Linked DNA regions of Ovis aries. The protein of the gene in region 3 purifies or fractionates together with the protein of the main gene of each other region. This does not show direct contact. Links are inferred from orthologs where the notes say so. Each region holds a gene or a part of one and is shown on either strand. Other genes may lie near its edges.

Region 1 (3,560 bases), on a different chromosome or scaffold from region 3:
TTTAGAGAAAAGCCAACTAAGGAAGCAGCACCAGTGACAGAAAACTGATAAAATCTAAAAGCGAGCATTTCAAAAACATGCAAAACATTTTTCAGCAGAGAGGTGAAATCCAGCAGAGATGGAAATACAAGGATTTGTCACCTGAAGGCGGAGGCGGTCGTTGTGGGGGAGCTGGACGTGCAGGAGGAGCAACCGGGCGGGGAGGGGGAGGCCGCTTGGGTTCCAGGGTCTGGGAAGAATCTTTCTGCTGCAGCTGTGTTGCTGGCAGAGTGTCAACAGGAGAACCTACCAGAAAAAAGTACCTTAGGTAAAAGGATCAGGTTCCAAGGGATGAGCACACAGGTACTTTCTATAGGTGTATGATAAATTATTTAGCAAAATAATTTGTACTATAGAGGAATGACACACATTTTTAGTATCAATAACACAAGCAGCTGTGCTATTACCTTACACTATTACCTTACCCTGTGGTACTATGGGAGCAATCAGGTTACTCTCTGGACTTCTTATCCAGGCCCCGGGTACTGAAAGGGGATTTACTGAGTGGCCCTAACAAGATGGCATGAAGTATCGTGTGAGTTAGGTCATTTGCAATCCAATCTGCTGGCCAGGAGAAGAAAAAGCAAAGGGAGCCTCTTCTTTCTATGTCTTGACTTATCCTGAATTTACTGAAGGAAGCCCATCCTCAGAGGGCTTCCCTCGTGGCTCAGTGGTAAAGAATCCACCCGCCAATGCAGGAGATGCAAGTTTGATCCCTGAATCAGGAAGATTTCCTGGAGAAGGAAATGGCAACCCACTCCCATATTCTTGCCTGGGAAATCCCATGGACAGAGGAGCTTGGCAGGCTACAATCCATGGGGTCGCAAAATAGTCAGATATGACTCAGTGACTATTTAACAATGGTCCCCTAAGAGTAGCATGGGGGAGCTCAAGAAACTGCTGAAATAAAAGGTATTTTTCAAGGATACTGGTTAGTGTGGAACAGTGACTGAACTGTGTGGTGTAACAACTTACAGAGAAAAACCTTCTGACTTTGGAGGAGTCATGACTATCAAGTTGAATTCAAAATACTTGTTTTGTCTCTTTCTGCTTCCTATTATAAAGCAGGTAATGTACAGATAGTTAAGCCCAAAGAGTTATGGGTTCTGACCATAATGCTTAAAAATCATCAGTGATAAGCCATGGACAAAGCTGCCACATAGAAAAAGGATGAAGTGAAGTTCTCATCTAGTGATAGCAACAAGCTTCCTCTTCACTTAGGGCGGAACCATCTACAAAGTTTCTTCTTTTGCAGGCACAGAAAACATGCTAAATTTTAGCCTATGGATGTGAAAGTTAAGCAAAAATAGCTCTACAAAGGAGATCTGAAGGCATCAGAGGTTTAACCATCTAAAATCAAACATATCAGCCTGGGAAGTCATACAAAACTTGAAATAAAACACATACTTTGTGAAGCGGGGGGCCCGGGTGTTCTGGACGGAGCTCGACTTGGTCTCACTGGGAGGGAAGGCACAGGCCCCTCCGATATGGTAGGTGACTGGCAGGGACTGGTCCGGGGTGAAGAACCGGGGGACGTGCCAAGGCCAGAACTGGAAGATGGCTGGAGATGCTGAGGAAGGATCTCCTCTACCTCAGCACTATAGTCATCCACATCACCTGAGAAAACGCAAGGTTGGCCACCTTACCAGCACGTTAACTTTCTCAGAGATTTCTCCCCGCCCGCCCCCCGCCCCAGTCTAGGCTTAAGGGGTTAAATATATAAAATAAACACCTTAACATGATGATACTGCAAACATGTCTAAGTTAAGCATGTGGGTATATATAAAGAGGTTATATGTATACAACTAGAATTAGTGCAAATGCTCTCGTACCGTAGAAAAAGTAATTAAAGATAGCCCCCTGGGCTTCCCGGGTGGTCCCGTGGTGAAGAATCTGTCTGCCAATGCAGATGGACATGGGTTCAATCCCTGGTCTGGGAAGATTGCCCATGCCACAAATACTGAAGCCTGTGAACCACAGAGAGAGTAGCCCCTGCTCACCACAGCTAGAGAAAGCCTGTCCGTAGCAACCAAGACCCAGCACAGCCACTAACTAATTAGATTACTTAAAAAAAGACAGTCACAGGGGACACAGTAATACCTATGGCTGCTTAATGCCGATACTGGCAGAAACCAGCACAATACTATCAAGCAATTATCTTTCCATTAAAATAAACACATTTAATAGTAATAATTTTTTTTTAAGTCTCATCTCAGAGCAACAGGAGGCCCAGTGGCGGCTAACATCTGGGGCTGGGTTGACTCCACAGCTGTCAAGGCGCTCTGAGCAGCACTCTCAGTGCTGGCTGAGTCGGACGCTCACTGCCCTCCCTTCAAACCTGCCTGCTAGTCTATGGAACCGCCCCTCACGGCAGACACAGTCATACACTACACCCTTCCCCTGGAAGACTCCTCACTACTTGGTGCCCTGGGCGTGTAACCCTCTGCTTTAATTTAACAGGCGGGAGTTGGTTCTTCCCGAGGTCTCCTCACCTCCGTTTTCCACAGGGTCGGGAAGTGGCGTCAGGGAGCCCCATGCCACCTGACTCCAATTCCAAAACTTTAATCTTCCAACCCTGAAAAGGCCTCTTTATTTCTGGAGGCTGTGCCTTCCAGAATTTGTGTAACACCCTCAACCCGTTTGCCGCCATAATCTCCCACCTCCACCCTTTTGGTCACTAGAACCCATTCACTGAGGACCAAGGAGAGAGCGAGATGGTAAGCTGGGCCCCGCCATCTTTCTGGGTGACACCGAAGCCTCTGTGGATAACCCACCAACCTGACGCTTCACCCTGCTGGCGTGCTCCTCTACTCCACACTCATGCCCCTTGGAACCGCAGTGCCTCTGAAGCAATAAACTCAAACACTTCCATCTGACCGCCTTCCAGCCTCTCAGTCTTTCCCTTGGCTACTCTTTCCCCACTTCTGACTTCACCAGGACCCAGGCCTTCGATCCCTCTTCTTTGAGCCCCTACTGGATTTTGCAGGTCTCCTTGCAGCTGTCTTCACATCCTCTGGTTCCTTGCTGCGGCCAGTCCCCTCCTGCACTATTCTTCCATCGCCCCTGCGTCAATTCTGCAGTCTAATCTCTCCATGACTGCAGACAGGCTGCTGGGTGCTGCAGACAGACAACCGTGTGGTCCTGAGGACTGCAGCTGTGTTAACTCTGTGGTTTCAGCCTCATCTGGGCTCCCATGGCCTCCTGGCCAACCCACAGTTTCCTGGCTGGCTCCCCATCTGACTGCTTCCCAGGAGCTTTGTCTTGAACCTTCTCAACCCTCCTAAAGCCGTGTGCTGCCCGCCTCCTTAAACTTCACAGAGAAAAGGGAAGTCCTAAGGTGGGAACCCCTCTCTTCAACAACCTGTCCCCCAGCTGTAGCCTAACCATATCTACGGGTGGAAAGGGTGGGGTTCTGCCCACCACTGGTTGCCCTGCCCCTCCCCAGCAGCATCAGCCCTTTCCATCAGGATTAAGCTCCTCAAGTGTCTCCACTTCAAAACAACACTTCAGGGAGCAACTGC
Region 2 (4,257 bases), on a different chromosome or scaffold from region 3:
TTTACTCCTTGGAAGCAAAGTTATAACCAACCTAGACAGCATATTAAAAAGAAGAGACATTACTTTGCCAACAAAGGTCTGTGCTGTCAAAGCTGTGGTTTTTCCAGTGGTCACGTATGGATGTGAGAGTTAGACTGTGAAGAAGCTGAGCACTGAAGAATTGATGCTTTTGAACTGTGGTGTTGGAGAAGACTCTTGAGAGTCCCTTGGACTGCAAGGAAATCCAACCAGTCCATCCCAAAGGAGACCAGTCCTGGGTGTTCATTGGAAGGACTGATGCTGAAGCTGAAACTCCAATACTTTGGCCACCTCATGAGAAGAGTTGACTCACTGGAAAAGACTTTGATGCTGGGAGGGATTAGGGGCAGAAGGAGAAGGGGATGACAGAGGATGACATGGCTGGAATACATCATTGACTCGATGGACATGATTTTGGGTAAACTGCTGGAGTTGGTGATGGACAGGGAGGCCTGGCATGCTGCAATTCATGGAGTTGCAAAGAGTGGGACATGACTGAGAGACTGAACTGAGCATTATGTGTAGTTATTGCCATGGGGAAGTCTTCAGGTAGACTAAAACGTTCATGAATTAAATCCTGAGTAGTATGAGTATTTGAAATGAGGATCTGTCCAAGGAGGCTGAGAGAAGCATGACCATTTATCCCTCTGTGTCCCCCAACACAAAGCACAGGATCCAATGCAGTCACTTAGTTCGCTAAATTTAAGAGAATGGGAGCAGAATACATGGTTATTGATAGAGACCATAGGAGGTAGATTAGGAGGAGAAATGGAATGAAGAGTCACAAAAGACAGAATGAACTTGGTAGACTGAAGAGGGCGAGTGGTGCTGGGTAAGCACAGTGGACTCTACCTTTGCTTCTGCAGGGCCAGCAGAACCCAGCGGTTCAAGTTGTATCATTAGGTAGGGTCAGAATACGCAGGGCCTGAAACGGATGACAGATCGAAGAATTTAGACTCCAAAAGGCCGGCCACCCCAAGAAAAGCCCAGGTTCTGGAGTGGGCCGTGAGAACAAGAGATTTCCTTTTGGGAGGTGCACTCTGGAGGCATTGCACTGGTGGTGGCATCTGAGCTGCTGCCGCCGCCGCTGGCGACAGTGTTGAGCTGTTACCGGCGGAGTGCTTTCCACTGGACTTTCGCTTACAGTAGCTACTGAAAGGGAACAGTGCTGTCGGCTGGTGCTGCTATTTCATGCCATTCCCTGACCGAGTGCTGTTGGCACCAGACGACAGAGGCGGTGGCATCTGGGCGCAGCTGGGAGGCAGTGCGTGCGCGCTGGGCGGGGAGGTCTGCCGAAGCCTGGGGCACAGCAGCCGCCCATCCCGGCGAGGGCGGGGCGGTCGCGGAATCAGGCCACGCCCCCACTCGCCTGCGCAGGCGCGCTTCGGGGCCGTTGCTGTCAGGAGCGCACTAGAGGCCGGACCGTGGCGGGATCCGACGTCTGGCTGTACCCGGCTGACTAAACCCAGCGCAGCAGCGGCGGCGAGGGTGGCGCGGCCCCGGCTCCCTGCCAGGTCGCAGAGACTAGCAGGGACTAGCGGGCATCTGGCGGGGCAGGCACAATGGGGAATCGGGAGATGGAGGAGCTCATCCCTCTGGTGAACCGTCTGCAGGATGCCTTCTCCGCCCTGGGACAGAGCTGCCTGCTGGAGCTGCCTCAGATCGCCGTGGTGGGCGGCCAGAGCGCCGGCAAGAGCTCGGTGCTCGAGAACTTCGTGGGCAGGTGAGCACGCGAGGGGGAGGGTAGGAGGCGGGGGCGACCCCACTTCAGGCTGCTGGAGTGTCGAGGGCAGGAGCCGGAGGCTGGACCAGGGGCTGCAGCGGATGGGAGGGAAGAGCGGCAGTGTCCGTGACGGCGGGCGGGGTCGTCCCGGCTCCGGGCATCCTCTGTCCCTCCCCGCCTGGTGGCCCTCCTGTCTGCCTTTCATCCTGCGATACAAAGCCATTTCCTCCCCGTCCTCCGGTCTGGGAGTCGGGGAGGGGGTCCGCCCCAGGATGACTTCCCCCTCCCGCCCGTTGCGCGCCAGCCCCGGGGACAGCCTGAATGCGTAGCTCTCCCGGGAGCTTCCCAGTCCCCTTTCTGTTTTCCCGGCTCAATATCCTCCTCCTTTTCCTGTCAGCCTCCCCAGGCTCTCCGCGAGGCTGTGGGGTTCATTTCCCTGCCCCTCCCCCCCTTGGAGATGCTTTCCTTCTTGCCCTGGTTCTCGGCTCCTGTCAGCTGTCTACTGTTCGAGACAGTCGTCGCCTGCCCCTAGCAGGGGAGGCGGGGTTCGAGGAGAAAGAAATCGTTTGTTGTGGTGAGGCTTTAACCCACGACGCTTCCCCACAGTTCTCCTCACTAAGGAGTCCAACAGTAAAAGGTGATTGCGTTTGCGTGTGCACCTACTCACAGCTCCAGGCATAGAGAGAAACCGAGGCAGAGACTCTGAGAGGGGGGTGAACTGCGACTTGTGTTGTCCAGGTGCCATGTCATTCCTGCATCATCTCGGAATGGACCAGCATCTTTCTCATACTCTCTCTGCACCCCCTTCCCCAGCATCATCTTCGATTCCATAAGCTTTTATTTGTCCTGCGAACCTTCAAGTTAACAGCTGAATTGAAATTATGGTTCCAGGTTTCGTAGTTACTTTTAATTCTGAAAAACCCAAATAATTCATTTTTAAATTGGGAATCAGCATTCCCCGCCCCCCCCACCCGATTGAGCAGTGCATGAGAGATTAAGTTACCTTAACGGCCTTGCCTGAGGAGTGCAGACATTTGCTAAGAAAAGCCCATTGGAAAGCATTATGAAAACTGAAATCTGTTTCCTAGTAATAAACTAGGTAGAAATGTACAATAGCTGATGGAGGGGGCCAGCGATGGTACAATACAGAGACTGTACTTGACTCTTTCTGTTTGACTGGTTAGTGATTTTGAATTCAGAAGGTTCGTGGTTTGTTTGTTTTTTTGGCTTTTCTTTTCTTTTTTGTTAGTGTTTGTGTAAAATTTAGATATTCCCACATCTTTGGGAATGGTAGTATCCATAAAGTGTATATTCTTTTCTCTCAGATGATACTCTTAAGGATTTTTTTTCCCCTTCCTGATGAACTAGAAAGCTAAGAAACCTAGTTTTTAAAAAAGTAAGATTGCTGACAGTTGGCTGTTATCTTTGACTAAGTCACTTAATCACTTTTCTCAGTTTTATCATTAATTTTAGTGGTGAGAAAAGTGATGGTAAAGCATTTTGCCTACGTCATCATAGACTTATGGTCTAGTGACGGATGAATATGTGATTTCAAATGTGTACACAAAATAGTCACATACATAAGGGTTTTACTTTCTTTGATTTATTGTCAATGAAATTCAGTAAATTTAAAGTGGTATCTATAGTGAAAGTGAGGTTTGGTGAGGTTTTTTTTGGGATTTATAAACTCCAGAGCATTTAACAGGAAGCCTTAATAATCATTTAACTACTTTTGCTTTTTAAACAAATACTTAAAGATTAAAATTGTAAGTAATTCAAATGCAATGACCATATTTTATGCATCTTTCATATATTTAGTTGGATGAATTTGCCTTATAAATGCGCTTTTTGTGGCAAGAACTTTTGAACTTAATGTTGATTTTATCCACATATCTTGATTCTGTTCTTCAGATTTTCCAATCCTGAACATAGTCACTGATGCTGTAATAAAATTGTAAATATCTTTCCTCACTAGCTATCCTCTTTCCATATGAGAATTTTAAAAATCTGAAAGAGTAAAATATTTTAGCTTGAATACTCTTTATGATAGAATAAAAAATAGGGACATTGTAAATAGTATGTATACCAGCATATTTATCAGAATACGTTAGTAATATATTGGTAATTTAATTTACCAATAATTAAATACTATAAGAATGTCAAGTCAAAGGAAAGGATGGGCATAAAGGAAAAAACTGATTTAATAAATATAGCAAGGCTTTATTATCTGTAGAGATGACACCTGCCAGCAGAACTTATATATTAGGTGAAAATTTAATTAAAAAAGTAATTTGATTTTAGTAAAGGTTTCAGTCATTGAATTATTGAGGAATCTAATTTCTAATTATAAACCTTAGGGAAAAAGGAGTTCTGTATTTTGTTAGGAGATTCATTCTAAGTGGAAAAAACTGCTCATATTAAACTGTAACCTTTTATCTTTTTATTATCCAGAAAATTTTCAATAAAGATAAGGTTCTTTAAGAATGAAACTTTCCTCTTTTACATATAGCTGTTTT
Region 3 (4,058 bases):
AAACAAGGACAAATTTACTCTCTGGGAACAATTAAAAAAATGAAACTTCGGTTTGATGTAAGAATCACCAGGAAGTGGGAAAACTGAGGAAGACTCCTATGTAAGTGCTTCTCCTTTGTTTTTGAAACCAGAAGTGGCTTGTCACAATGTAAACATGGAAAGGAGTACCATGTGGAATAGTGATTAGAAAGGTGAAAGAATGACTGTTACCTGCCTTCTGTGGAGAAGACAATAAAGTAGGAAGTGTTTATCCATGCTTTAAGGCTTGTGCTTAGTGTGGATAAACACAATTCAAGTTTAGTACAAAAACTATTCTTTCTAATTTTATGGAAAAACACCCACTCCAGTATTCTTGCCTGGAAAATTCCATGGTCAGAGGAGTCTGATGGGCTACAGTCCTGGGGTTGCAAAGAGCAGGACGCAACTGAGCATACAAGTTCAGGTTTAAGTATCAGATAAAATTTTCGTTATATATACCAGCACTAGTTGCTAAGCTGAGTCCCACTGAATGGACAGTCTAACATGGGCCAGTAGATCAGGGTGCAAAGTATCAAACGCTGACCATCAAAGGAATAGCTATCTACCATAAACAGCTTTCAAGGTTGTAAGATGAGTGCAAAATACGACGTGTAATTGGTAATTTAAATGTTTGGCAACAAACCTCAAAGTCAAATTTCCTTAGAAATATTTGATCTAAAGTTTTGTTTCTAAAAAGATCAACATGAAATGATACATGTTAAAAAGGTAGCAAAGTTCTATCACATCTAAGAAAACCAAGACAGAGTCTCAAGTGAATTTAAAGTCTCTCAGTCGTGTCCAGCTCTTTGCAACTCCATGGACTGCAGCCTACCAGGTTCCACCGTCCATGGGATTTTCCAGGCCAGAATATTGGAGTGGGTAATCTTTCCCTTCTCCAGGGATCTTCCCGACCCAGGGATCGAACCCAGTTCCTCCGCACTGCAGGCGGATTCTTTACCAGCTGAGCCCACCAGGGAAGATAGAGCTTAGCCAATAATAACAAGAAAGTAATTATTTCAGTACCACTTCCCTGGTGGCTCAGACGGTAAAGTGTCTGCCTACAATGCCTTAGACCCAGGTTCAATCCCTGGGTTGGGAAGATCTCCTGGAGAAGGAAATGGCAACCCACTCCAGTATTCTTGCCTGGAAAATCCCATGGACGGTGGAACCTGGTAGGCTATAGTCCATGGGGTCGCAAAGAGTCGGACACGACTGAGCAACTTCACTTCACAATTATTTCAGTAACAGCAGGCAACAGGTTCCCCGGATAAGAATCTCCATCAAAAAAAAAAAAAAAAAAAAAAGGCAAAAAACACACTGCACCTAGACAGAAACAGAACACAAAATTTCACAGGCTGAAATATCAATATGATCTTCGAAAGGGGTTTTAAACTTACCAGTTTTCTAAGTTTTCTCTCTCTACCAAAACCAAAAACCCAACAGCAACAAATCTAAGGCTTTCACCAACCCAAGAAGTGAGGTTTAAAAAATAAACACGGTAGAGGGTTCTGATGTTAATAAAAGGGGCATTACTAAAACTACTTCCAAAATCAAAAAGAAAGTCAACTCAAACCCCACCCCTGGCTCCTGGAGGGGAGCGTGGCTTTCCCTAGTCAGTGGCCGTCGAGAACTAAACGCCCCAGCCCCAAGGAGCTGGGGGAGGAAGGTAGCGAAGGGTGAACGCTAATTTCGCCGACAATACTGTAAAATAAGCAAACCACCGCTCCTGGCCAATTAACTAAGCGCGACTCAAAGTTCCACCACGTAATTTGGGCCTGGACCTTTTTTTTTTTTTTTTTTAAAGCAAACAACGTAATTGAAAGCAGAGTCATTTCCCTCTTGGTATTTTATTCATGCTGGAAATAACATTCAAATCGAAAAGGTAGCAAAACAAAAGAGGAAAAAAAAAAAAACACAACACAAGAAAATTGAGGGAAGTGGAAGCGCGCGGGACGTTTCACTGGGGTTTTTTTCCCTCCTCAGGAGCCTTGACTCTCCGGCCTGCATTTTAAATTCCCAGTCCGGCCGGGCGCGGGTCGGACCCCCGAAAGCTGCCCGCGGCGCCGGGGGGTCCCACCCTCTGCGGAGGGAGGAGAGAACGCGGCTCCCGCGGCGGCGGCGGCCGGACGCGCGGAGCGGCGGAGAGTGGACTCCACTCGGGACCGAGTCGGGGGCTCCCGGCGGGCGGGCAGCTCCTCAGGGCGGGCGCCGGGCAGCTGCGGGAACTTTCCCTCCCTCCGTGCCCGGCCGCGGCCCACACGCTCAGGCGCAAACTTTGCAGACGGCGCCGCGAGCGGCCGGGGTCCCGCCCCGCGCCCCCCAGCCGAGACCCCGAGCGCCCCGGCCCCGGCCCCTCGTCCGCCCTGCGTGCCCCGAGCCCGGCCCGAGCTGGGTGGGCCCCGGCGCGACCCCTCGGCCTCCCCGGCGGCGCCGCCGCCCGCGCCCCCGCCCCCGGCCGCGACCCTCCCCCGCGCCGCCGCAGGGCCGAGCGGCCGGCCCGGGGCCCGGGCCGCGCTCCCCTCACCTTGGTGGCCATGGCGGGCGGATCTCCCCCCCGCCCTCGGCCCGGGACGGTCGGCTCCTCTCCCGCGCCGCGGCTATCGGCCCCAGGCGGCCGGACGAAAGCGAGGGCGGCGGCGGCGGCGGCAGCTACGGCTGGGCCCCGGCGCGGCGGCGGCTCCGCCCCGGCCCCGAGTCTCGGCTCTGGGCGACTCCAGCCGCCGCCCCGCTCCTCCAGTTCCTGAAACTCCCCGGCTGCGCGGCCCCCGCCCCCGCCGGCCGAGCCTCCCATCTACCGCGGCGTGCGCGGCGCGGCCGGCGGAAGCGCGCCCGGTGCCCTGGGCCGGCCCGGCCTCCTCTCCCACTTTCCGCCCCCGCCCGGAGCCTCCGCCTCGGGCCGCGCCGCCGGCGCCCTTTGTCGCAGGGCTCGGGGCCGCGTCCCCCGAGCGGCGGCCGGGGTCGGGCCGGATCATGGTCCCCCCACCGACCGCGTCCCGCCTGGCTGCCCCGCCGTGGGGACGGTGGACGGGAGTGAGGGACACGCTTATGAGGGAGCGCCTGCCGGGGAGCCGAGTCCCGAGCGGCCCTTCAGCCGGTCACCGCGACTGAAGTGTTTCGCTGTGGAGATACAACGGGGCCCCCCAGCACGACGGGCTCGAGTCGCGGACGGGGTCTTTGTCCCGCGTCGGCATGGCTGTGGGGCCGGTCGTGCTCGGGGCTGAGTGAAATGAGTGTGGAGAACGCAGCCGGCACGGAGCGCAGCAATGGCTTCCAGGTCCGCTGGCCCTTCGCGGAAGACCCGCCGCCCGCCTGGAGTTGCCCGCGGGCTGTGGTCCCCGGCCCGGAGCTTCAGGGCCCCGACGCTTGGGGCTTTCGTTCTGAGGCGTCCCGTTAACCTCCTTCTGGACTCCTGATAAATTTAAAAAACGCCTCCGGGCCCCGGAGGTTAGGGGGAGACCCAACAGGTTTCCCGAAATGGAAATTTTAGAAGTCTTAAAAATTTCCATTTTTCTTCAGAGTTGGATGTGTGTCCTTTGTTATCAATAATACATGAATGAGTTGAATAGCAAGATTTTCGCTCAAGTACGAAAGATGTGACTGAAAGACATCTCTTGATGGAAATATTATTACAGTACATTCTATTTTATCACGGGGATATGTACCTCGTAAAAGAGGCAACTATCAAAATTCATCTTTAAGCGAGGAAAGCGGTACAATTAATGTCAAATTTTGTCCTCTCGAAAATATTCTATTTGATCTCCAGAAATTTAACTGGTTACCTTCTACAAAGAGGTTTTAAATGGATATGGTACTAAAGCATTTTCGGTGAATTTTTGTGTTTGTTGAGTTCGGGAGCTACGGCTATTATCAATCATGCTGTTTGTTAGTCGCTCAATCGTGTCCGACTCTTTGGGACCCCGTGGACTGTATCCCACCAGGCTCCTCTGTCCTTACTGGAGCAGGGTGCCATTTCCTCCTCCAGGGAATCGTCCCAACCCAGGGATCGAACCAACGTCTCCCGCATTGCTGGCAAATTCTTT
Region 4 (4,250 bases), on a different chromosome or scaffold from region 3:
GACCCCAGTGAACCTGTTTCCCACTCCAGTCCTGGCCTCCTCACTAGCTTTCATGAGAATCAACTAATGCATCCCTGTGCACGCCACTGTACGCCAGGCCTCTACTCTGCCCCAGACCTGCGCCTGGACACCCTGTGTATCCTCCTGCGAAACTGCAGTCAAAGGCTATTGGATTGTGGAGGGCAGCGAGAGGGTCCAAGCCTCTGGGGGCAGAGTCTGAATCTCACTCGACCCCTCGACAAGCTAACAGTTACGGAAGTCAGCTGTGGCCAGGCTGGCCTGCTGTGCGGTCCACCCCCGGCACCTCTCTCGGCTGGATGGTGGACTCCGAGATGGCAGCAGCTAGGTCTCCTGGCCCACACAGGCCCCAAACCTAACTGAACATTGATACCTCCCTTCCACAAGTCTATAAAAGGGGGCTTTTATACTTGTGAACTTGCTGGAGCCCCACACCCATGTCTCAGGAAGGCAGGGTGGCAGCTGGCATTGGGCCCATTCCTCAGATGGGGAAAGTGGGGGTCCATACACTTGGGTGTTCCTGTGTTCAGTGCTGAGCTGGACTCTTAGAGGTGGTGTGGGCCCCAGATTGGAGCCTGACGGGCACGGTCCTTCTTGGCCCTGTGACCTTGGACAGGGCCTCTAACCTCAGCGTCTGCTTCCTCCCCTGCAGGGTGGTCATCACAGTACCCGCCTCACGGGGCTCTTGTGATCTGTCCCATATAGCCTGGCAGGGGGCACAGGGGAAGGGCCTGGCAGACAGTGGCTGAGGTCAGCTGCTCCCTTGTGCCCCCTGCCCAGAGCACGCAGCAGGCACAGAGCATGCATGAGCAGAGGGGGGAGAGGCAGGCCTGTGGTTTGTACCCTGAAAAGTACAGGATGTCCACGACTGTCATCTAAAGCATGAGGGCCTCAGGGGCTGTATTGCCTCCAGGGTCCTCCCAGCCCCCTCGCGGTGACTGTTGAGCCATAGGGACACGGACCATCTCTGTGTCTCTTGTCTGTGTCTCTGCAGCTCTGGGGGAAGGTGGGGTCACATGAGCAGGAAAGGGGTTCTCTGGAAGCCCTTCCCCGGGAGACAGATGGCGTCCCCCCTGCTGATCAGATGGGCCCGGCTGCCCCCACAGTGGCTCTCCCGCGTCCCACAGATACATCGATCTGTGCAGTATCCTTTTCTCTCACCCCTGAGGCTGACACTGGGCCTTCCCAGGTCATTTGAGGGGCGGGGATGACCGTCCAGTCTAATCGCCCATATTAGAGATGGGGAAACTGAGGCTCAGAGAGGGCAGTGACTCGCTGGAGGTTTCACAGCAGAACCTGGTTTGGGACCCAGGATGTCTCAGCCCAGAACTGCCATCCCTGGGATGAGGGGAGGAGAAAGCCCTCTCTGCCTGCCTCCCTCTCTGGCACAGGTCATCCGCCTCTTTACCCATGAAGGTCATTGGAGGAAAGCTAGGGTTTCTGAAGGAGGGTAGGAAGGTAGATGACAGAATGGGGAGGTCAGCGTCAATTCTCTTGCCTCCTCCCTCAGTCTGCCCAGCACGCTCCCTCCGCCTCCAGCTCCCCGGGAAGAGCGCCGGCCTCTCTCTCCTTCTCAGCCCCCGGAAAGCCCATCTCTGTCTCCCCTTCTTGGGGAGAGCCTGGGGGGTGGTCACGACCCTGCCTGCCTCCCTAACCCCAGGGCTCTTTGTCTTGGTGGTTGCCCCTGACTCCTTGCCACCTGGCCCTCCCGGCGCCTTGTGGGATCCGAGGCAGGAGGGGGATTAGGTCGTGCAAATGGCTCCCCCCACCCCTCCCCGCCAGCCCGCCTCCCTCCCTGTCTTAGTCATCTCTGTCCTCCACCGCCTTCTCCCTCCATTCCAATCCCTCTGCCAGGCCAAGGGGAGGACGACACTGACAGGCGCCCCCCCCCCCCCCCCACCCAGGGGCGGCGGCAGGGCAAGGGGCCGGCGGCTTGGGGAAGGCTCAGAGGCGCTCGCTCCCCCCACCCCCTCTTCCTCATCCTGCAGTCGCGCCTCCCCCCTCTTCCGCGCTGCTCACGGATGGCGGCCGGAGCCGCAGAGGTGTGTGTGACGGGGGAGACTGTATCTGGTCCCCGATGCTCAAGGGTCTATGTCCTCTCCCAGGGGCGACGGGAGGGGTGACCCCCCACCGCAGTCCAGGAATCCCCATGAGAGGAGGGGGAGCTGTCCATAGAGCCTGGGGGCATGGGCCCAGGGGTGCTGCCCGCTTCAAGAGACCCCCTCAGAACCGAGGGGAGTCATGTAGGCCCCTCGGTACCCATGGGGGGGGGTAGGGGTGGGGGAACAGCCCTTTGCCCGAGTCTGCTGTCTTCCTAAAGGATGGAGCGGAGGAGGGGGGCGTGAGCCCTCGGCCGCAGGCTTGACGTCTGCGGCCCAGCGGGGATGAGGAGGGTGGAGGGCGCTGCGCCCCCGAAGGGCTCTCGTCGCGGGGGAGGGCCGCCTCCTCCTTCTGGCTGGAGGTGGGGGCGGGGGGGTGGCGCGCTGTCCGCCGTGCAGCGCCAGGGGCTACGAGGTCCCGGCGCCGTCGGGGCCGGGTCCCGAGACCCGGAGGACCCGGGCGCGGGGAGTCCGCGTCCCAGGGGCGCGCCACTTCCTACCTGCCTACGAAATTCTCGAGCACCGAGCTCTTGCCGGCGCTCTGGCCGCCCACCACGGCGATCTGCGGCAGGTCGAGATCCGCGTTCTGGCCGATGGCGGAGAAGGCATCCTGCAGCCGGTTGACCAGCGGGATGAGATCCTCCATGCCACGGTTGCCCATGGCTGCGGCTGGCTCAGCAGGCTGCGATCCGGCCGCCGCTTGGGCTCCCGGCTTCGGCTCCGCGGATGCAGCGGCGCGCTCCGACGCTTTTCTGCGCCGCGGGTCCCCCCGCCCCTCGGGGATCGGAGCGCCGCGCTGCGCCGGGATGCCGCGAGGGGGCGCCCGCTGCGCCGCGGGTCGGCAGCTGTGCGCAGGCGCCGCCCGTAGCACTATGGGGACTGTAGTTTTCAACTTCTGCGGCTTTTGGGGACGCTTGAGCCGTGTCTGGGGGAGGCACAGATGCTGCACCGCACGTTATCTTTCCAGGAAACGGGCAAAGTCTCCTAGGTACTAGGTGCCCTTAGTACCAGACCCCTTGGAGAGTAGTCGTGGCTGCCTCACTCCCTCTTACAGACGGGGAAACTGAGGCTTGGAGGCACGGCCTCCTTCCAAGGTCATAGTCTTCTGACCTTCAGTTTCACTTGGCTTCACTGCCTTCTACTTTGGGTTGTAACACTAATTTTATCTCCGGCATTTCCCTTCCCGCCTTTGGGCCTCAATCTCCCTGTTTCTAGAAGGAAAAGATATAGAGCATTAATTTAACAAATATTTACTGAACACGTACTGTAAGCCATACCCTGTTCTAGGCGCTGGAGATATAGCAGTAAACAAGACAGACCAGGTCTCTACCCTCATAGATCTTACAGTGGAGACAGACAGTAAATGAATAAACAGATAAATGAAACAGTACAAGTGAAGATAGTGTACACTAATAGTGATGCGAGAAATCAGCACAGCATATGAAGAGTTCTCTTTAGCCTGGCAGGTTGGGAGGGTTCTCTGTGGAGGTGACAGTTGAGAAGAGACCTGAATGGTGAGAAGCAGCTGCTGCTGCTGCTGCTAAGTCGCTTCAGTTGTGTCCAACTCTGTGCGACCCCATAGGTGGCAGCCCACCAGGCTCCGCTGTCCCTGGGATTCTCCAGGCAAGAACACTGGAGTGGGTTGCCATTTCCTTCTCTAATGCATGAAAGTGAAAAGTGAAAGTGAAGTCGCTCAGTCGTGTCTGACTCTTCGAGACCCCGTGGACTGCAGCCTACCAGGCTCCTCTGTCCATGGGATTTTCCAGGCAAGAGTACTAGAGTGGGTTGCCATTGCCTTCTCCGAGGAGCAGCTAGCCAGGCCAAATGAACAGCAGGTACAAAGGCTCTGACACTTGGAAGGGCCTTCTTGGGACAGTTGGAACGTCTTGTCCTGGTAAGTGAAGTGTTCTCCCCAAACCATCAGGGTGGTGGTAAAACAGTAGGGCTCGAATCCACGACTCTTGAAACCCTACCCTATTAATTTTTTTCACATAGAAAGACCGGGGGGCCCCAAGCCAAGTTTTCCACCTCTGCATTTAAGGAACCTAACTGGGACTCCCCACAAGGAGACTAGGGAAGAGAGAACAGAGAACAGAGAGAGAACCCTGGAGAACAGAGGAGCCTAGAGAGCTA

The links.
Region 1: the proteins of SNX9 (region 3) and SYNJ1 purify together in Homo sapiens (co-immunoprecipitation; 3 studies listed by BioGRID and IntAct, counting the BioPlex papers as one, with this or other methods). This does not show direct contact. The link is inferred for Ovis aries from reciprocal best matches to the Homo sapiens genes SNX9 and SYNJ1.
Region 2: the proteins of SNX9 (region 3) and DNM3 purify together in Homo sapiens (co-immunoprecipitation; 3 studies listed by BioGRID and IntAct, counting the BioPlex papers as one, with this or other methods). This does not show direct contact. The link is inferred for Ovis aries from reciprocal best matches to the Homo sapiens genes SNX9 and DNM3.
Region 4: the proteins of SNX9 (region 3) and DNM1 purify together in Homo sapiens (co-immunoprecipitation; 6 studies listed by BioGRID and IntAct, counting the BioPlex papers as one, with this or other methods). This does not show direct contact. The link is inferred for Ovis aries from reciprocal best matches to the Homo sapiens genes SNX9 and DNM1.

The regions. Positions count from the first base shown.
Region 1 is NC_056054.1:123,577,218-123,580,777, reverse strand, and holds part of SYNJ1 (synaptojanin-1), read right to left. Parts: intron 1,657-3,560; coding exon 1,447-1,656; intron 286-1,446; coding exon 142-285; intron 1-141. UniProt on the Homo sapiens protein: Phosphatase that acts on various phosphoinositides, including phosphatidylinositol 4-phosphate, phosphatidylinositol (4,5)-bisphosphate and phosphatidylinositol (3,4,5)-trisphosphate. Has a role in clathrin-mediated endocytosis.
Region 2 is NC_056065.1:38,533,987-38,538,243, forward strand, and holds the start of DNM3 (dynamin-3), read left to right. Parts: upstream 1-1,410; 5' UTR 1,411-1,580; coding exon 1,581-1,741; intron 1,742-4,257. UniProt on the Homo sapiens protein: Microtubule-associated force-producing protein involved in producing microtubule bundles and able to bind and hydrolyze GTP. Most probably involved in vesicular trafficking processes, in particular endocytosis.
Region 3 is NC_056061.1:82,167,948-82,172,005, reverse strand, and holds the start of SNX9 (sorting nexin-9), read right to left. Parts: upstream 2,858-4,058; 5' UTR 2,810-2,857; coding exon 2,543-2,809; intron 1-2,542. UniProt on the Homo sapiens protein: Involved in endocytosis and intracellular vesicle trafficking, both during interphase and at the end of mitosis. Required for efficient progress through mitosis and cytokinesis. Required for normal formation of the cleavage furrow at the end of mitosis.
Region 4 is NC_056056.1:8,070,254-8,074,503, forward strand, and holds the start of DNM1 (dynamin-1), read right to left. Parts: upstream 2,842-4,250; 5' UTR 2,779-2,841; coding exon 2,618-2,778; intron 1-2,617. UniProt on the Homo sapiens protein: Catalyzes the hydrolysis of GTP and utilizes this energy to mediate vesicle scission and participates in many forms of endocytosis, such as clathrin-mediated endocytosis or synaptic vesicle endocytosis as well as rapid endocytosis (RE).